Linked DNA regions of Arabidopsis thaliana. The protein of the gene in region 2 interacts with the protein of the main gene of each other region in a pairwise test. Each region holds a gene or a part of one and is shown on either strand. Other genes may lie near its edges.

What was found.
Region 1: the proteins of ARF19 (region 2) and IAA8 interact in binary tests that used the Arabidopsis thaliana proteins (3 or more experiments, as listed by UniProt).
Region 3: the proteins of ARF19 (region 2) and IAA1 interact in binary tests that used the Arabidopsis thaliana proteins (3 or more experiments, as listed by UniProt).

What each region holds. Positions count from the first base shown.
Region 1 is NC_003071.7:9,634,804-9,640,797, forward strand, and holds IAA8 (indoleacetic acid-induced protein 8), read left to right. Parts: upstream 1-1,576; 5' UTR 1,577-1,834; exon of another isoform or gene 1,835-2,004; 5' UTR 2,005-2,073; coding exon 2,074-2,094; exon of another isoform or gene 2,095-2,302; coding exon 2,303-2,820; intron 2,821-2,917; coding exon 2,918-3,147; intron 3,148-3,243; coding exon 3,244-3,385; intron 3,386-3,471; coding exon 3,472-3,533; intron 3,534-3,612; coding exon 3,613-3,656; 3' UTR 3,657-3,942; downstream 3,943-5,994. UniProt on the Arabidopsis thaliana protein: Aux/IAA proteins are short-lived transcriptional factors that function as repressors of early auxin response genes at low auxin concentrations.
Region 2 is NC_003070.9:6,625,411-6,635,992, forward strand, and holds ARF19 (auxin response factor 19), read right to left. Parts: upstream 7,724-10,582; 5' UTR 7,370-7,723; coding exon 7,327-7,369; intron 7,031-7,326; coding exon 6,918-7,030; intron 6,839-6,917; coding exon 6,743-6,838; intron 6,666-6,742; coding exon 6,609-6,665; intron 6,525-6,608; coding exon 6,369-6,524; intron 6,278-6,368; coding exon 6,193-6,277; intron 6,106-6,192; coding exon 6,015-6,105; intron 5,939-6,014; coding exon 5,578-5,938; intron 5,501-5,577; coding exon 5,362-5,500; intron 5,280-5,361; coding exon 3,535-5,279; intron 3,444-3,534; coding exon 3,253-3,443; intron 3,169-3,252; coding exon 2,985-3,168; 3' UTR 2,273-2,984; downstream 1-2,272. Other genes in the region: AT1G19200 (cyclin-dependent kinase, putative (DUF581)), read right to left, coding at 1-485; AT1G19210 (Integrase-type DNA-binding superfamily protein), read right to left, coding at 1,563-2,120. UniProt on the Arabidopsis thaliana protein: Auxin response factors (ARFs) are transcriptional factors that bind specifically to the DNA sequence 5'-TGTCTC-3' found in the auxin-responsive promoter elements (AuxREs). Could act as transcriptional activator or repressor.
Region 3 is NC_003075.7:8,359,042-8,364,085, reverse strand, and holds IAA1 (indole-3-acetic acid inducible), read right to left. Parts: upstream 3,091-5,044; 5' UTR 2,905-3,090; coding exon 2,747-2,904; intron 2,655-2,746; coding exon 2,306-2,654; 3' UTR 2,053-2,305; downstream 1-2,052. Other genes in the region: AARE (acylaminoacyl-peptidase-like protein), read right to left, coding at 173-247, 344-541, 622-846, 928-1,231, 1,350-1,531, 1,828-1,961. UniProt on the Arabidopsis thaliana protein: Aux/IAA proteins are short-lived transcriptional factors that function as repressors of early auxin response genes at low auxin concentrations.

The DNA of each region.
Region 1 (5,994 bases), on a different chromosome or scaffold from region 2:
TCACAAAACGTAACCTCGTAATTTTACCGTCTAAAAATGTAAACTCGTAAAAATTTCTGAATCAATAAATATCTCAAATTTAATAATAATGAATTAATGATGATGATAATTATTTATTATTGTTTTATAATAATAATTAATTAAATTATTATTTAAATGGTTAACCCATTTAACAACTCAACCCATCAAATGAAATGAGTTATGGGTTAGACCCAACTCATTTAACAAAATGAGTTGGGTCAACCCATAACTCATTTAATCATAAACTCATTTGATTATGAGTTGGGTTGGGTTGGGTTACCCATTTTGACACCCCTAGTAACAACAGAATGAATTTTGTTTATAGAGACAAAAAAACATGAAGTAATGAACATTAAAAAAAATCTTAGTAATATAATGGGTTCTCTAATATAATCTAACCTTCGAGTGAGAAAAAAATGAACATAAAAAAAAGAAACAAGAACAATAAAAAGAGTGGGAGACAAGAGGGTGATAAATGGTATAGCTACGGGACGGTGACGTATGATGTGAAAGAAAGGAAGAGCGCGGGTGATGATGGAATTAGGTGACAGGCATGTGAACAACAGTGAAGCTGCAAAGCCTGATTTGGTTGTTTCCCTTCTCTTTAAGCGTGCTTCCAACGTGTCTCTTTGATCATGACCTTCTTCTTCAAATATACAACTCTTCACTTCTATTTTCATTTGCTCTCATTTTCACATTGATTGTGTTCTTAGAATTTTGTTCCTCGTGCAATCTCCTCACTAGTTTAACTAAATAATTATACATTGATTTTTGTTGTGAGTCTACTTAAATTATGGTATCTATTATTGTACATTTCATAACTATACCACACCAAAAGTAGAGCATATTAAGCAGCCGGCAAAACAAAGTTCAATTGCTGCTTTCTTGTCTCTCTCGTATCATCACTCTCCTTTGCTAATTGCTCTCAGCCCATAATTATAAACGAGTAGAAGAATATTTAACACTCTTTTTCGTAAATTTTCATTTTTTACCACTTGTTAAATGCTCTGTCTTACTTTTTTTTTATCCATTGTAATTTTCATTGGCGGTATGCATATTTTTAGACAGACAAAATTTAAACCGATACGTGGTCCCATAACTATTGAAACTCTGATTATAATGGAAAACATATTAAATTTATAGGTATTTTAGACCACTCAGCCTCTTAAATATTGGATGGTCCCATTTCTATCTAAATCATTTTAACAACAACAAAAGAAAATATACCATAAAACAATCTGATTTGATTTTACTTATTGCTAAAACCATATAATAATTTTAATAAAATATAATAAACACACGCATGTTATTTGTGGACCTACAAAATAAAATAAAAAGAATAACAGAGACAAAAAAAAGTCATTTCAAATATATAAATCAAATTAAAATTAATAATATTTTCATGTTTTTTTAAGCTTCCTTACAAAACAGAAACCTGAAACCATGTTACCTATAACAACGACATGTATTTATTATTATTTCTCCATTAGATCTAACGACTCAGAATCACTCTCACTTACTCATTCTCAACCGTCAGATCTAACTACAGTACTCCACACCACATACGAACAAACCTAATCTATCCTTAATACCCTTACTTTTGTAGTTTATTACTAAATTTACCACTCCTTCCATGTTTTTGTTTCTCTCTTCTTCTTGATTGTTGCGCTTTTGTTAGCTTTCTCTGGTTCATTTTCCATGGACGGACCTTGACCTCTCTGCTTCCCTTCGTGCATTTTCTCTCTCTCACTATCCTCTCTCTTTCTAGTGTTTGTTTGATCCTCTGCGTACTCTGTTCTTCTTCTCTCTTCAGGTACTAGTTTCAATTTCTCTAAAAGGAACTATTGAAACCTCCTTCTCTAGTTTCAATTTTCAATCTGGGTTTGTTTGTTTGGTTCTTGTAGCTTCTTTGGATTCATTATCATTTGGGTTTAGTTTATTTTTCTCGTAAGTAAGTGATTTAGTTGTGATTCTGAATTTTAGGGAAATGCTGAAGAAGTTAGAGTAAGAAATTTTTGGTTTTTGAATGGAAAGTGATTGATTTTGGGGAAGATGAGTTCTGGGAACGATAAGGTTGAATTCTGGCTATGAAACCTAGGTTAAAGTTTCTAACTTTATCTTACTTGTTAAGCAAATCTAACCCAATTCTCATCTGAAACCCTAATTTTTCTGGGTTCTTCTTAAAATTGAGAATTTTGTTCATGCATCTATAGAAAGTGAAGATTTTTATGTAATTAGATTGATTTTGGGTTGTTCTTCTTGTTGTTGTGATGCTAAGCAGATAAAACAAGTCCTGCATATTGAAGATCTGATGTCTTATCGATTGCTAAGTGTGGATAAGGATGAACTGGTTACGTCACCTTGTTTGAAAGAACGTAACTACTTGGGTCTCTCTGATTGTTCCTCTGTTGATAGCTCAACTATTCCCAATGTTGTTGGGAAGAGCAATCTCAATTTCAAAGCTACTGAACTGAGGCTAGGTCTTCCTGAGTCTCAATCTCCTGAGAGAGAGACTGATTTCGGTTTGCTGAGTCCGAGAACACCCGATGAGAAGCTTCTCTTCCCGTTGCTACCTTCTAAAGACAATGGTTCTGCTACTACAGGGCATAAGAATGTTGTTTCTGGTAACAAGAGAGGATTTGCTGACACTTGGGATGAGTTTTCGGGTGTGAAAGGATCTGTTAGACCTGGAGGAGGAATCAACATGATGTTGTCGCCGAAAGTTAAGGATGTCTCGAAGAGTATTCAAGAAGAAAGATCTCATGCTAAGGGTGGCTTGAACAATGCACCAGCTGCCAAGTGTGTATTATATGATGATTTGTTTATGAGTTTGTTTATGAGTTTGTTTATGAGTCAAGAACGAATCTTGTGGTAATCTGTGTCTATTGTTTTGCAGGGCACAGGTTGTTGGTTGGCCTCCAATCAGATCATACCGGAAGAATACAATGGCTTCTTCTACTTCGAAGAACACTGATGAGGTTGATGGGAAACCTGGTCTTGGTGTTCTGTTTGTGAAGGTGAGCATGGATGGTGCTCCGTATCTGAGAAAGGTCGACTTGAGAACTTACACTTCCTATCAACAGTTGTCTTCTGCACTTGAGAAAATGTTCAGCTGCTTCACCCTTGGTGAGAATTTACTATGTATTTAAGCTAATCATTGATTCTACTGTAAAACAGAATGAACCAAAGAACAGTGATTTCGATTCTTGTTTGTGATCTCAGGTCAATGTGGTCTTCATGGTGCTCAAGGGAGGGAAAGAATGAGCGAGATTAAACTGAAGGATCTTCTTCATGGATCAGAATTTGTGCTTACTTATGAAGATAAAGACGGTGATTGGATGCTTGTTGGCGATGTTCCATGGGAGTAAGCTTCTTTTGGAACTCTCAGCTTTAATAACTGTGGTTTTGTTTCCGTTCAAAAGTTGAATCCTTGTTAAAACCTATTTGCAGGATATTTACTGAAACATGCCAGAAACTGAAGATCATGAAGGGTTCTGATTCTATTGGCTTAGGTAAGTTTTCCAACATCTTTCCCCCTAATCTGAATACAAACTCAATGGCTCATTTCATTGTTGATTTATTCTGTGGCAGCTCCAGGTGCAGTGGAGAAATCGAAGAACAAAGAGCGGGTTTGAAACGAAGATGCTCAAGACAAAAAAAAAACACTATGCACAGTTCCAATGTTTAAGTTTTATTTACTGATGTGTTTGAAAACTCTTTAGTCTTTTTACTAATTTGTGTTGTAAGACTTTGGATTCTCTTATTTGTGTGTGCTTGTTCAAAACAAATACATTCTTATGTGTGTGTTTCTACTTTGACCTTCAAGATATTTCGTCTCTACGCAAAATCTTGATTTGTTTATTGTTAGCACTTAGTACCAAAGTCTATAAGTGATAATTACGATAAAGAACCTTTAACCACACAAAGTGGAATCTCAAATGATGGTTATTATCTTTAAAACATGAAAGTGTGTAAATCTGGATAAGCTTTAGACTAATCGCAATAGTGTCTTCTACAATATTCTTACAGATTAAATACTAGAAGAACAAAAAAAAAATGTAACTACATATATATATTTTTTTTGTTTTCGATTTTTTTGTAACATACATATAATAACGTATAAAGAAGACTGGTGAGTAGGAAGAGTAGATAAATAAACCTCACCTTACCGAAATAGAGGGCATATCAAATACATGTGGAGCAAGAGTGGATGAGATAGAGAGAAAGGAGAACATTTATGTAGTGAGCAAAATAGAGTTTGACAAATTTATAGTCTCATACTTCTAATAGAGGTAGATGCTAACATAGCTACCCAAACGAAGGAAAGATAATAAAAGAATGTGACGCATAAAAATTTGAATTTTAGCAAACTTCTTTTGAGAATTGTGAGCTCTGTTAACTCGTATTTGTAAATTTTTTTTTTACTAACATCTAATTTTATTTATCTTTGAGCTCCAAATTTATCCACACTATTTTATTTTATAGTAAAGTTTCATAAACTAAAACCAAGATTTATTTTTGTATTTGCAATTTATGTGTTTTATTTTTCTGATATATAAAATACAATACATGTATTGCTACAAAATATATATAGTTCTCACTTTATATGAAGTTAATTTTTTTTCTTAAATGTTAGTATTCATATTCTAATTCCCTCTTCCCTACATCTAAAAGAGTATTAATTTTCTTTAGATATTCGACATCAGCTGTCAAATTAGTCTTATCAAATGGGACTCAGTGATTTGCACAAATGTAGCACTTCTAAATGAGTTTGTGGTTAGTGCACTTCATCGTTGACTTTATTTTCAAATTTGATTGTTTTGCTATTCGTAAGAACAATTATATCAGTCACAGTCATATGTCTTGTTAATGCTTTTCTTTCATATGAACCACTAATTCTTTTTTTCATTGATCAAATTAATTTTAGAGAAGCTTATGATATTTGACTTTGGTAATAATACCAATACTCAAAGAGAGTAGCGAGGCCTAAACGTTAACATATTATTTATTCATTTTTATTTTATTTTTCATAATTTTATATCAAAACATTGGTTATAAAATATATAAAGTTATAAATGTCATCTATTTGAATTTATTATATATATTCACACTTGGTTTATATGAAAACTAGAATAGTTCAGTCCTAAAAACATTTTAACAAAAAAAAACTAAATTTTTTGAAAATAGTTAATTCATAATTTACAATTTTAGTAATCAAGTATTTTTTATTTTATTTTTGATTAATGTTTTTGACTTACTGAAAATTATGTTTTGTATAAAACAAATCAGACACTTAAGCGGCTAATTTTACTTAAAATTGGGCATTCGAAGGTTCATGAACTCCTAAGCGGGTGTCTAGTCGCCGCCTAAACCGATTTATTGAACATTGAATGCTACAATGAAACTCAAAAAATCATTTTTACATAAACTAGACTTATATTTTTGTAGCTTTTATTAGTAGTGTTGTTGTGGATCACCATCCAAACTAAAACCGGTACAATACAAGTAATAAACAGGAAATATATATACTTGATTTCATATTTTCATACTAACACAAAGACATGTTACTCAAATTCCACTGTAGAAAAACTTATTATCTTCTTACTCAAATTCTACTGCTTTGTTCTCCGCCGTTGCACATTTATCTCTACATGAGTGGACAACGTTGGATTTGTATGGTTGAGTTATTAGGTTTATTGGAGGCTACTTTCATAGAGAAATGAGAACACCGATCTTCTCAATCAGTACTATTGTGAATCAAGAATGCTAGATAACGATTTCATATTAGAAAGTTTAAAGGGTATAAAATACTTTATGGTAACTAATAGAACAATGATAGAGAAGTTTGAGGTACCGATAGATGGTTATGCACTTAAATTTAACAAAATATATATAATTTGGTATTAAAATTATGTTTTTGAAAGTTTTGGTTTATAAAAAAATTTCGTTTGTGATATGTAGCTATATAAATAT
Region 2 (10,582 bases):
TCTGGACAATCTCTCAATACCCGCCTCTCCTTCGCCGGTGACTCCTCGGCGATTTCTATCGGTTTTCTCCATCTCTGATCACCGTTCAATAGATTATGACCAAATTCAAACTCTTCTTCCTTGTAATAGACTTTGGTCAGGCCATCACGAGTCGTGACGCAAGTGTATTCCTCAGAGTCAGATAGATCAATCCCCGCCGCGAATTGGAATCTCTTGGAATATCGAGCCAGGTCAAATCCTTTGGAACCGGCACCGGTATGGCAAACCGGATTGATCCCGATGCTGGATTTCTCAAGCGCAGCGACGATACCTAAACCAATTCCACCGCCATTATCGTACCTCTTCGAACTTCCAGGCGACGGGAATTTCATCATATCTAAAGGACTTGTTTGACTAGCCGTGAAATAATCCGGCGAAATAGTGGAGTTTTTACCTGGAACCACCATGTGGGAGAGTTTCCAGGTCATTGGATTGCTTGATAACATATTAATCGAGAACTGAAAAAAAGAAACAGAAAGATATATGACGATGAGAAGAGCAATGGAAGAAGCAAATCTTATAGGAAAATCTGATTGTGGAGAAGAGAAAGAAGATGAAATGGAGAAGCTACAGACTTAGCCCCACCGGATATCCGCATTTCTTTACGGGTCGGATATTCGCATTTTGTTAATAAAGCTCTTTACGTTATCTATTAAACTCTTTTTCCTTTCAATATATCCAGATTCTATTTTTAAAAAATTACTGCATATTATATTAACATTTTTGCCACTTGTAAACATATAATGCAATATGTAATTTGAATTTGAGACAATTACGTAACTAGATTCTTAATTCTTCTTCTTCTTTTTTTTTTTTTGAATATAACTAACTGTAGGATTTGTCAAGTTAATAGTTAGTGGCTAAGAATATTCGTTTTGGTTTAGATAAATTATAGTAGCATAATTTCATAACAATTTTAAACTATTTGTTTCAATTTTTTTAATTCCAATTAATCCTTGAATTTCACTGGCTTAATTGATTACTGAATTGTATATTTTTTTTTCTTAAAAGATATTCATTGAAATGATTATATTGAAAACCCTTAAAACATTAATAAGGTCGTTGTCAAATATATCAGAAAATAAATATATAAAAATTAATAAGACAAATACCCTTATTGCCTTTGTTTGAATGGGCCTGAAATATTATTATTAGGCTTAATCGTACAACTTAAAGTAAAAATTGTAATTGAAATTTAATAAGACAATACCCTTATTGATTTTAATGGGCCTGAAGTATTATTGTTGGGCTTAATCGTACAGTTAAAATAAGATTTGTAATTGGGCCTAGTGAAAGCGATTGGAGTGGATGATATCATGATAATATGATCAAATGACGTCAGAAGATCCAAATATAATTGTTTTATTAAGTTTGGCCTTTTCCCATCTGAAAAATCTAACACGTGGGAAAAAAATAGTGAATGAATAACTCTTTATCCCAATGATCAAAAAAAAATTGGGTAAAGAACTACAAAAAAAAATAAAAAACCCAAGTCAAAATTTTCAGATTGTGAATAATGGAATTCAAAAATTCCAAAGAAACATGGAACCATCGGCGTAAGTCTCTTCTCCAAGCTGATAATAATCTTGTGTAGGCGAAAGCTGCTCTCTGAAACGATCACCGGAGTATTCATCGGAGAAATCATCAAACCCAGGGAATAACCCAAACTCCGAAGCGAAGTTACCCGAACCAACCGTCGGAAGCATACTCAAAAACTCCGAATCAACGTCCATCGATGTTGAAGCAGATTCTTGCCGTATCTCGTATCCTGCTCCGCCACTTGAATCATCCTCCGCCGAATTAGCGAACCTCGCAGCAGCTTCTCTTATCTCAGATCGCGACAAGTTACGTCCGCCGGAGATCACCGGAGGATTATCAGGGAAATTGAACTTTGCGTTGTTGCCACGGAGACAATAAAGAGCCGCGTCGAAAGCACGCGCCGCCTTCTCAGGAGTATCGTAAGAGCCCAACCAAATACGTTCTCTGCTGTTGGGAAGTCTGATCTCTGAAACCCATTTTCCCCATTTCCTCTTCCTCACTCCTTTGTACTTTGACTGCATCGAAGAAGACGACCCTTCCATCACGATTAAACCAAACAAAGACGCGATTGAACCAACCCGGTATGATTTCTCTGTTTTCCGGTTTAATTTTGTTCTGTTAAGTTTTTTCAGTGAGCTCTGTTCTTCAGTGTTAGTGTTGATTTGAATTGAGATAATTGTATTTGGCGCTTCAGAAATTTATTTATACGAGTGAAATAAAAGAGTGAAGAGTGAGTTTTTGACTTTTTATGGCGCGTGAAGAAGAAAGAAGGTCAGCTTCAAAGGTCAAAGGGAGCGCGTTTGTACTTAAAACGCCGCAAAGTGTCAGGGGAATGGACACGTGGCGGATGTTACTAGAAGCTTGAGTCTTAATGTGTGTGGGTCACAACTCACACGGGAAATCTCAGAGACTGTTTGGTTTTCTTGTCCTTGTCCTTGTTTTTCACGTGATTCTTTCTTTAACTCCTCTCTTTTCGTTTTCAAACGTTGAAATGTTGAATATTTCGCTGCGTCTAGAGGATACTGGTATAAAAGAATCTGAAATGATCCCTGATTCTTAGGAGGCACTGAAGAGAAGAAGAAGAAACGACCAAAGATTCATGATTAATGAAGGTAATTGTTTAGTTACATTAACATTACATCTTAGTATCTCTGTATAAGATATGCTCCTCATAGACTTGTCAAGCATTATACTTGTTATACAAATATGGAAACAAGAAAGTACAACAACATCAAGTTAGAATGAAAAATCAAATCACTGTCCTATAAAAATGTTTATATACCGTGCAGTATCTTCTTCTTCTCAGTTTGTTGTTTGCAGTACATACACACAAAAAAAAACATGTACTTTGCGATGGCCTCGAATGATAATGTAAGTTGACTTGGTATATTTGCATCTTTTTATTTCTATCTGTTGAAAGAAGCTGCAGCAGAAGTGTCTTCATAGTGTACTTTCCAAGCATTTCCGCTGTCTGTTTCGCTGCAGGCTTGGTTTGTGGTTGGGATAGCTGCAAGATCTCCGTCTAAGCTCATTTGCTGAACTTCTACTGATGATAGTATCTTTATGTTCTGCACGCAGTTCACAAACTCTCTGTGGAAAAAACAAACAGACAAGAATTATCAGAATTGTTCAATCTTGACTGTTACAGATAGATTTTTCAGGTCTGGAACGTACTCCCAAGGATCATCACCAACTAGTAAAATATCGTTTTCGTGATCGGTGTAGACGAGTTTCCAATCAGAGGTTAGCGGATCTTCGAGCTGTCCTTCGATGCCAAACATTCTCGCTAAGTCATGCCTAAGTTCATCATAGCCGCTATAACGGGTAACATCTATTGATCTACCTACTGACCCTCGTTTTTGAACCTTCAATGATTTAACAACTTTCGGCATTTAGCATTCGAAAATTAAGAAGCAAAAGATTAGAGCTATGGAAAGGGAGAGAAAGATCTCTAACCTTTGTATATGTTCGCATTCGTTGAGTCTGATTGGGCCACAGTCCTCCACCATTCATGATTCCTGAATCATTGATGCCGCCAACCTCATTTGAACATCCGGGCTTAAAGGGAATGCTGGGAATACCAAATGACTGAGAACTGATTGCAGCACTGGACAGCTCCGTCTCAATGTCTCTTGGTGTGTTGCCATAGTTGGGAACCAAGTTTTGAAAGTCCTTTTGAGAATAGAGTGGATCAGAAGTTACGGCTTCGAGATTACCAGGGAAAGCTAAGTTGTTTCTTGGATGATGAGATTGGCAGTCTCCATCAAAACCAAATGATGGTAGTGGGAAAGTTTGTTGCTGCTGTACAGGGCCAACAACATCAGGACAGTACGTCGTTCCCGCTGTGGATACATCGATTTGATCTGTTACCGCGCTTTTAAATCTGAAATGTTCACCAGCACTCTTCATATTCATCATGCCTTGACTGATCCGGCTCTCAGTTTTTGTATAAAGCTCTTGGACCGGATTGCTTGCGCGCTCAAAGACTGAATCAGATGCAGATACAGATGCAGCTTGTCCTTGCTGTTGATTTCTGCTCAGGAAATTTGTCGGTGAAACATTATCATGTCCCGTGTTATTGGCGGAAGGTGAGGTTGAACAAGAAGGAGCTTCTCCATCTGTGTGGCCAGAATGTGATCTTCCAGCGGCTACAAGATTTTTGTTACTCATCTGTCCTTGCTGCTGAGGACTCACCTGAATCTGTGGAGGCTGCATGAAAGTTGAAGCTGGGAAGCTGTTATTACCATGTGCCAAGGGCTGTTGATTTTGAGACGACAGAAGTTGTTGCAATTGATGGCTTTGTGTCTGCTGCAACGCTGATAATTGTGGCTGTAAGGATGAGCTTACTGGAGGAATCGACTGCTGCTGTTGCTGCTGCTGTAGCTTCTGCAGTAGCTGCAACTGAAGCTGTTGTGAAGGACTTGGTTTTGATGATTGTTGTTGCATTTGGAGTTGCTGAGGATTTTGGGACAGATTTTGTTGTAATGAATGGAGAGAGGACTGTTCTTGCTGGTTTCTTAATAACTGGCTACTGTTATGCATTTCCAGTTGCTGCTGAAACTGCATTTCTTGCGCAAACGATGTCATTTGAGACAAGCCTTTATTCCCCATAGAATTTATGTTCTGGTGTGTCATTTTAGCACCAGTAGGGAGCATTGACTGCTGCTGAAGCTGAGACTGAGAGAATCCAGTAGGTTGGTTTGGACTTTGACAAGAGACTTGGTTAGCAACAGCAATCGTACCATTGTTATAAATCCCTTGTTGCTGCACCTGTTGCTGTGACATCTGTAGTTGTTGTTGTTGTTGCAGTTGTTGTTGTTGGTGTTGGTGTTGTTGTTGTTGTTGTTGTTGTTGTTGTTGAGATTTCACCATGGCTGGTTGTGCTTGCATCTGTTGGCTGATATGGTTAACCGTGTTCGGTTTGTTGAATTGGGAATTTGCGGAAGAGAGGTTTGGGGATTGGAAGTTCAACAGCTTGGAAGGGTCGTTGGAAGCAAAATTGTTTGGTAGGTTAAAAGATGAGAGCGCGGACGGGAGCTGAGGAGTAGCAGAACCTGACAATGGATTGTTTTGCTGCATACTCATCCATTGAACTAGACTTAAACCAGGGAACATCGAACTCTGTGCGTCCTTCATCCCAAAGTCTTCTCCCATCCAAGGCATTGCTCTTTTGAAAGCATTTTCCATGTCTAACTCATCATCTGCAACAAACCACCAAGGTTAGTATCCGGAAACTCAGTCAAAGATCTATGGGAAAAAAATGAACGAAAGCAGTAAACTCACCTGGCATCCCGGGTTGCCTCGGGTACTTAGGTCTGAAAAATGGAGGAGGACATATGTAAAAAGGAGTTATGACGGGTTCGATTTCCCATATGGATACTCGGCTTGGCCTATCTCCAGCTGTTGATTCATCCCATCCTACCTGTTTAAACCATGAACAAAAGATTCAGAAGAAATGACCATCATAAACAGTTTAGCATAACTCGGATATGTCATTACCTGAAGATTACGCCATTGTGAGCCTTTCCATCTTACAGGGTCAAGATCACTAATACCTGTGACTGTACCCATATATCTACGAACCCCACAATCCTCAGTCTCAAACATCATCCGGAATCTCATTCCTAGAGATACTTGAGCGTATAAGGCTTTGTTGTATTTGGCTAAAGGAACTACAAACTCTGAAGGACTTGCCCTTGGATTGAAGAAGATGGTAAAAGGGCTACTATTGGCATTAGCATGAGCTGCAGCTGCAAGTATCCCAATGTGCATACTGTCGCTGGATATGACCGATGAGGAAAGAGTCGGAGTTTGTCTATTTGCACGTCTTATACCCAACATCAGCTGTGATTTCTCATCTCTGCAAACCCAAGTACCCTTATGAGAAGATGAAAGTCCAATTCTGCTTAATGTTTTGATCAAAGTATGACTCATACCTTACAAACAAAACTGAATCACCCGCAAATAGTCTCTTTGTGCTAACAAAAACGCTCCAACCTGTGGTAAGCAAGTGTCTTTTTGGTTGGCCTGAGATCAGATTACATCAAAGAAAACAAATCAGGTTGAAGTTTTCAATCTTTTAGACTAATAAAACAAACTTTAGATGATTCAAACCTCGATAGATATGTCTGAAAGTCCATGTAGTATCATGTAAATCTTTAGCTACAATCTCTTGCGCAGGCGGTTGCATCGAGAAATCCTATTTTAAGCACCCTTAGAACTTTTAGCAAAACAGATTCAAAAGTTTGAAGCAAAAGAAACTGAGAGTAGCTTTGATCAGAGAGACATACAAGAGGAGGGAATATTTTCTCAGCTGCACGACGCGGTACAGAGAATCCACCATGAGTGCTTGTGTCACTTGCAGTAAGAGTCTTGCAAAAAAACTCAGTAGGTTGTCTGTTTAGCTTCAAGCCCATATCAGAAGCTAGCAATGCTTCTCTATCATACTGTCACACATTTTGAGCAAAGATCAGCATTAAAGTCCTCAACTTTAAACCAAGATAGCACAAGAAGAATGATATAATTCAGACCTTATTCACAGGTTGAAGAGTCATTTGTGCATAGACTTCATCTGTTTCGGTATCAGCCTGATTCAGAATTTCACAAAAGTCCTGATTAGTTCATCTTCTTGTTGATTCACAAGTTGGAGTCAGAAGAGACTTACATGTAATGTAACACTGTGAAGCAAGCAAATCAGCTTAGAAGGAAGATTTGGGTAATTTGGTATAAAATCTGTTTGCTTCTGCATCGATGCTGCAACCTGAAAAAAGGTTTCATTGAACATATTACTTAGATTGCTACCAAAGGTTTCAAAATAGTTTGAAACGCAATGAACTTACTTGCTCGCTGTGTCCTTGAGGGAAGTAAACCACAAGACTTCCCACAGGAGGTAATGAAACTAAAGGCCCTGCACAAGCGTGCCATAGTTGAGAATTGATTGGCTTCTTCTCTCCTGTTCATCATCATCACACACATATTCAAATCTGTTAAAAGTGATAGAATTTTTGCATAGTTTCATTTAAAGTCTGGAAATTTTATGAGCGGCATTTATGTTTCAACCACTTTATTAAATAAAGTGATAGAAGAACTCGATTTGTGACTTTGTGCTGACTCCAAAGTTGAAATTGAATAACAAAATTCATTTTTTCAATGAGAAAATCACAAACATGAAATGCAGAAACTCCTTGATGAAGAAATTGAATAGTATAAAATCTGGAAAAGAAGAAGATAAATATAAAGCTTGTGTACCTTCGTTGGAACTTGGAAGAAATCCATTTGATGGAGCTTTCATGGTTTATAGAAAGAACGAAAAAATTGGTTTGGTGCAGGGAAGAAACAGAGTTCTTCTTCTTCAGCAAAATTAACGAATCTGTATTTGCTCAAGAGAAGAGCACGAGAGAAACTAAATAGTAATAATTTTGGAAACAAAAATCATTCTGCTGCTAAGGAAAAAGAAACAAAAGCTTTTTTCTTCTTTTTAGTTCATAAGAATATTTGAAGCTTCAAAGCAAATTTTTAAGCTCTTAAAAAGCTTTGAAACTTTTCTTTTTTTTCTCGTGTTTCTGCAGATTCTCAAGTGTTTTTTCAAAAAAATAAAAACAATAATCGATATTGAGATTTAAGCCGATTGGGATCGGATACATGCGGAAAGATGAAATCTTTTCTTATGCCTTCTGACGTGGCACCCCACTTGATGTCTTCTTCTTGTCGGTCCCACCTTTTTTATTTCTTTTTATTTTTATCTTTTCCGATTATAATTTACTGTTGTTGGAAAAACAGTCCATGGTTTTAAAATCTGTTAACTTTCCCTCGTTTTTATAACCATATTTTTAATTTTTTACTTTAGTAATACGGATTTTCTTATGAATGAGGTTATACCATAAACCCGGATATATTGAGAAAAACCTAAGGATTAGGTTCGGCGGACCGAAAATTGCAAGCCAAATGGGGACTTAAATATTTTCTAATCCAAAGTTGTAAACTCTTGGTTACCAGAAAAGATGTCCCACTTTTTTTCTTTTATATACATATTTTCTGTTATAATATAGTAGTAGCTAATAAGTTTATTCATTTATATGGATTGGTCCAAATTGAGACATGTCCGTATAATGCGAGAAAAAAAAAAACACTACTAGTAATTTAATGACTTAATTATGATTAGAATAATATTCCTTTTGATACGCAATGGAGCACCCACTAGCCGCAAAAGGAGGAGAACTTCACATGTTTACAGAGCTACGGACATCATTATACTCCAATTAAAGCTAAGCCTTCATGTGTAATTATTAATTTTTCAGGCAATTATTTTATTCATCTTCTTCTTTTTTTAATCAATAGTATAAAGTGTTCGTTTTTGTTTTAATTAATGTATAAAGTTCTTTACAATTAATCTGGACCGGAGTAGAGTTGTTCCTTACTTTCAGCTCTCTACGTATGCATATAAAATGTAGTTGTAGAGCCTTTTTCCTTTCAACGCCGATCTTTCTTATGAATTTTGCTTTCAATTAACATATACTATAATAGTATTGTATTTCTGAATCTCAGTATACATGTATTTAGTGGGGGAGGTTTTGACCTAATTATTACCTTTTTGTTGATTTATATGTAATTAGGGATTTTCTATGTTTAGACAAACGGAAATAATTTGGAACATTTAAATATCTTTCGAGAACAACTCTGACTCTTTCCAAAGTAAATATTCTTCATTGATATCATGTCAATACATTCATTGAAAACATGATGTTATTTAATTAATATGAATTATATATAAAAGATTCAAATATATAGTTTATGTTTTGATCAAAACAGAAGAGGGTTAATAAATTAAAACATTTCACATGTAAAAGAATTCAAGTGGTAATCTTTTGGTGAGAACATATGAGATGATCACACCTCCAAATGGACATTAAACAAAAACCATAAGAGCTCATTAATATATGTTCAACTTATCGCGGTTAAACAAGAAATACCGAAGATTAGCCATGAACTTAGCAGTTTAATATACATCTCTTTCTAGAGTAATTTATAATTTACCACATGTAAATTGATTAACCAGACAGCTACATGTTTATAAATGTTAAACAAGAGATGAGGTGAAGCGATCTCAAGAGCCTTACCTAGTGAGCAAAAGAAAAAGGAATGTAAAGTTTGATAAGTTAGGTTTAAACATATATTATAGAGGATCAAAATTTGAAAAGATATGGGACGACAAAGTAAATCTCAACAAGAATAAAAAGTTGGCATGCTTTAGTGTTTTTTATGCCTTTTTGGGTCAATATTTGCTGCGCGTGGAGAGTATATGTACGTACAACAATTGATGTGTTTAGAAATCACTCCTCATCAAAACGAATTAACCATTCTAGTAGTAGTAACACTCAATCATTGTTGATATTTTTTTCACCTCCCACTATTGACTTTTATATCTATATAAAATTAAATTATAATTGGATTTGATCCACGCATCCTGCAAAAGTTTCCTCAAATACATACGCATGCACCATATATAACAAAAACTTGGGACTTTTGTGAATTCCTCAATTTCTACCACCATTACAGAAAGAGTCAATAAATATATCGTTTTTACTAAAATAACTAAAACACAAGAAAAATGTATGTGCACGTGAGTGTGGGTGCAGCATGCACGTGAGGTGTGGCAGAGGATGTCGGGAGAGACAGGCTCTAGACTCCGACCGAGTCTTTCGGTTTAGCCAAAATGGTTTTGCTTTTAAGTGAGTGTATGCCTCTATGTCTCTTCTCCTCATCGTAACCACACACACTCTCTCTCTCGTTTGTTCTACTATTTCCCAACCAACAATATTTTTTATTTTTCTGTTAACTGGAATTTAGACTATCTTAAAATCTTGTTTTGCACACTAGTTTAATGTTTCAGTAGTACAAAAGTACATATGTTCTAATGACGTTATCAAACAAGGTATAAAACCATGAAATTCTGAACCAAAATCAATATGAAAAAGCTGTGTATTTTTGACATAGAAAACGTTTCTAGCGGCTAATTATGATTGACATTATGGTGAAAGGAATTGATCTCTCAACCAATGTGGTAAATTTTTATACTATGAATCTTGACTATCATCTATTGGTTTAACATTGATGGTTCTCTCAACATTCTTCTTTCTTAACTTTTAACAAAAAAAATCTTTTATACAGTGTTGTGTCAGATTAATAAACCATAAATTTCATCAAAAATTAATTGGTTCAATGAAAAAAAAGTTCCTAATTAACTTTGACATTTTTCATGTGGTAATTTAATTTTTGACTCGTTAATCGATATAGTTGTTGTTACACAACTTGTGGGGAGAAATTTCACTTTACCCTTGATTATTCACATTTTTCATTTCTATTTTGCATACTACAACCGAATTCATGATCTAGTCAGCAAAAAAAAAAAAAAAAAAAAAAAAAAAGAAAAAAAACTGGTTAACGTTTACTGTGTTTACAACTTGGTTTTACATTTGTTTATTTGCTCAATCCAATAATTAACCCA
Region 3 (5,044 bases), on a different chromosome or scaffold from region 2:
AAGTTTTAAACAGGTCATAATTAAAATGAACATTGCAAATCAACACCACTATATATAAGGGAAATGTTTAACAAAGTTGTGCAAGAACGCTCAGTTAGAAACAGAGTAACAAGGACAACAAATACTCTACATAACTTTTCTAAGTTAAGGAAAAAATTCATAAGAAGTAAACCTGAACCGAGGACAAAACCCGCTGCTTATGCTCTTAGTCAAATTATGAATAGGGAATTCATTTGCGTCATCATCTCTGAAACACAAGTAAACACAAACTTTATAAGATATTTTTTCGGAAATTAGGAATTATTAAGCTGTCTTTTAGTAGTTATAGAAGTTGCCAACTTACTTTGGTTCATCCGATGTGAACTTAATTGCGTATATGGCACATGGTCTGTTGTAGCAGTACTTAATACCAAACTTTCTTTTATCTCCTAACCAACCGGCAAAAACCAAATATTGAGCTGATCCATTACTGTTTGGACTCCAAACAACCTGTCCAACACTTATTGATCTAGGAATTCCTTTGATTGGCTCGACCTCTCCACTGTTAACAGAAAAAGAGAAACAACCATCATAAAAAGTACTGGGTAGTTGTTCTTTTCTTATGGAGAGATTGATGGAAACCTGTCAACATTGATAACAAACAGTGCAGGCTGCCTTTTTCCGGCGTATGCTTCTCCCCATTCCTCTTCCCAATCCCCTTCACCTTTCCAGCTTCCAATACCCTTGTCCAAAGAATTTTCTTTCTTGTAATAACCAAGATGATCAAATGTAGGCTTGGGACGAGATGGCTCCTCGGCGACATACGCAACATGAGTCTCATCTGAATCCCAAGAGATCCCTTCAAACCTATCATACATAAGCCTTACTCATTTTTATACTTCTACAAGAACTTGTCTTTAAAAATCAGCCAAAAACAAAGTGCCATACCATCCATCAACGTATACAGAGCCATGAACTTTCTGTGGAATATGGAACTCCTTCTCTAGCTGAGAAGAATTCCATATCTCAAACTTTGTAGGAGATTCATTTTCAGGATTTCGAATTACAAGGAGCTTCAATCCCGATGGAGATGGGACAAAAGCCGATGCACCAGTCATCTCGATGGGAAATGGCGCCCAGTGAAAGTTTACAGATTGGTTACTTTCGTTCGAAATATGACCCGACAACATAAACTTCTTCTTTTTATTAGCCAAAAGGTTTGCTTGACTCAAGGCAAACATTGCCTGAGAACCTGTAGTAAGAGCATCAAAGTGAAAACATCATTTCATTTGGGAAGATGATTTTCAACAACAAAAGACTCAAAAATCTTAATTTACAAAGTCCCAACTTGAATATGCAAAAGTGATTACCAGAATCAGAATTAAAAATCCAAGCTTTATCAATGCTGGGAATATTAATGAACTCTTGAAGTAACTTTGACTGTGTGGCATACTCTTCCTCTGTAGTTGGGTCCAAACCAACATGCAATTCTTTAGCCGAATCAGTTCCAGAAGAATCCATAGCTACAAATCTTCGAATCCAATTCTTGTAACTGAAACAAGTATCTCATAAATCACTAATGATTGCAAAACAATTCCATTAATCAGATTCATCATCCATAACTCTAAACCAATCAAGTTCTTAGTAGATATGATTGGCTTCAAATTCGTTAAAACAGAACAAACAAAAAACCAATCAAAGTAATAAACTTTCGGATTAAAAACTGTCATATAAACGATACCCATCAAAGCAATACCATCAATGATTCTCAATTCGTGGTAACACCATCAAAGTAATGAATTTTCGGATTGAAAAACAGAGACTGAGAGAAGAAGAAGAAGAGCTTACGGAGACTGAGTGAGTGAAGGAGTGATGAAAGTAGATCGGAAAAGAAGGCGACGAAGATGACGATGAGAAGAGCTCAAGTCAAATCCCAAATTGGTGGAGCAAGTTATTGGGTAGTGACTAAAGATTCTCGCCATCTAATATTAAACAAAACAAAAAAAAGTTGAAAACTTTCGATAGTGATATCCATTACATTGCCCATTTCTTAATCCAAAATTTTATATCTTTCACTATGTCCCAAACTTATGTTAGTATCAAATACTAAACTTTATTGGTTATGTTAGTATCAAATATCTTGAGCATACATATAAACTTCGTATAATCAAAACTCATCTTTTACAGAATTAACCAAAGCTAGTTTACATCTATATAACGTATTTGTAACCCTATTGCTTTTTCTTTCTTTACACCAAACTTTTTTTTATCTAAACAAAGTAGAATTTGTTTTTGCCTCGACCAAAAGGTGTTTTGAGACAATGGATCATAAGGCAGTAGGAGCTTCGGATCCTTTCATGATTCTGAGTTTTTGACAAGATGAAGAGAACATGTCCCATGGAACATCACCGACCAACATCCAATCTCCATCTTTGTCTTCATAAGTAGGTACAAATCCAGATCCTTTGTAGCCTTCTCTCTCGGAATATTCACCTACTGTGAACTTGAACATGTTCTCTAGTGCTTTGAGAAGCTCTGGATAGTTTTTGTACATCTTGAGATCTATCTTACGGAGATATGGAGCTCCGTCCATACTCACTTTCACATAACTCACGTTTTTGTTGTTGTTGTTCTTACGGTTAGATCTCACTGGAGGCCATCCAACGATTTGTGTTCTGAAGTTTACAAATCAAGATTCATTATTAGTACACCGATTGATATCAAGAAGTTTGGATATTAAAACTATAACTTTCAGATCTCAACTTACTTTGCAGGAGGAGGAGCAGATTCTTCTGTTGAGTCGTTGTTCTTGCGCTTGTTGTTGCTTCTGACGCAAGAAAGTTCTAGTTGTTGTTCTTCTTGTGCTCCGGGTAATCCCAAACGAAGCTCTGTGTCCTTAAGGTTAAGCCCATTGGTGACTTCCATATTCTCTCACTATACTTTAACGGAGAAGCTCTCTTCCTTAATTCTTGAACTACTTCTTCTTCTCTTGTTATTGCTCTTCTTGGGATTGTGATTTGATATCCTTGAAAATGCTTGTGTGTGTTGTGTAATGGTGAGGGAGAGAGAGAGATTTATATAAGGAAAGATGCTTTGAAATTAGGGTTAACGAGAGAGAGAGAGAGATATGAATTATGACGTTGTCGGGGAGCATGAGGAGGCAAGTTAGAGGCAAGGGGACAAAGGTGGGACACAAAGATTTTGGACGCGGCTTCTTTCTTATTTTCAACGGTCCTGATTTGTCTCCGCCAGTTGCGTACGCGAGATCCTAGCCGTTTCTTTCTCTTACGGTCAAATGAGTAAAGAGAAAATCATAAGAGTAAGAGAACTTCTCGACCTTCGTCCTTCTACCACACGATCACGCTAGGTTTATGTTTTGCAACTATTCGTTATTCGGATTGATTCAAGAAAATATCTAGATACATTTTGTATAGTTCAGATTGGATCATCGGATATCATAGTAGAAAAAATGAAACTAGTGTTGGACATGTTGATCATATAGATCAAGCTTTTTCGATCACCCCAGTTGTGGGGTAGTTTTCATGAAAATATTTCATTTTTGTGTAAAGGTTTGGTATATGGTAGAGTAGATGTCTAGAATAGATGATCAAATATTAATGGTCAATTTGTATCGAAGAATTAACAATTTCCTTTTATAAATATTTCGACAGTTTTTGCGTGAAAAGTAATGTTTTGTTTGCAAGAAACTATAGAACAAAATAATAGACAAAACACTGTAAAATATTATTTATTTTCTCGTAGACACATATATAAATTGTAAGTATAGGTTTGTACAATTATGATCAATAGTAAATAAATTGGGGAGGGAGATGCATGTGGATGAGGGTGAAGAGTGTTCTTAATGGAATAATGGATGCAGGAAGTATGGTAAGGCCATGTGATATGCTGTCTCAAATAACATTTTTTCTATTTATTTTATTTTAATTATTGTGTAAAATTTCATTTTAACATTTATTATAAATACAAATATCTATATGAAACTATATATTTTGTTGAAAAAGAGTTGAAAAAAATATCTAAAGAGATGATTTAAAAAAAAAAAAAAACCATTTTAAATGGGCTTTTGGGGACACGGCCCATGTGGTATTTCGAGCAAGGTAATACAATTAATCCCTTCTCGAAATTACGCATAACTATGTTCATTTAACTTGCAATTCCCATACCGCATGCACCTTAATTTGATGTTTATATTTGTGTTGGGCGTATATTCATTCCACAATCACTGTCCACTAAGAAATTTTATTGTCTATCTAGCGACAACGAGAACAAAAACTAGATCATATATGAACATATTGACAAATCAAAATGTATATGGGTTATTTTACCAATAAGCATTATCGTTTTTACAACAAGTATAAAGTAATGCTCCCTACGTTTAAAGTTTATAAGATGGTTGAACAATTTTTTGTCATTTTAGTTGTTGTTTTTGTTTTTCCATACAACATTTGTGTTTTAAATTAATAATTAGTACTCATATTATTGAACTATTATTAATCAAAAAGTTATTTCTAGTTTCTTATTCTTTTCATATTCATCCAAAACAATTTTTTTTATTAAAAAAAACATAAAGAGTATAACAAATAAAAAAGTATATGTATAAACTTGATCATGAAATACAGAGATGCTAGTCGCTAGAGGCTTGCGTGTTCAATATAAAACAAGACGTATGCTTATAAGAAGTAACATTTGTTAAATCTGTTTTGGAAATCCCTCTCATTGTGTGGGAGATGATAACATAATTGTAGAGTTTACATGCTATATAATAGTATAACGGATTTTCTGATCCCAATAGATGGATCTCCTGCAGGTAGGTGAATCATGATAATATCATTTATACTTATGTCACCATGTGTCCATGTTAACTGTTATTTTCACGCTAAACCATGTTCAACGCATGTTGATGAATATTCATTTTCTTACATATTTATCAAATATGGTGTGTAGTTTGTTCTCATATGCATATCGATTGTCAACGATACAAGAATCCATACCTAAGCTTTGAGAGTTTCGTGTGGCATGTTAATTACTAAAACCTATCAAACTC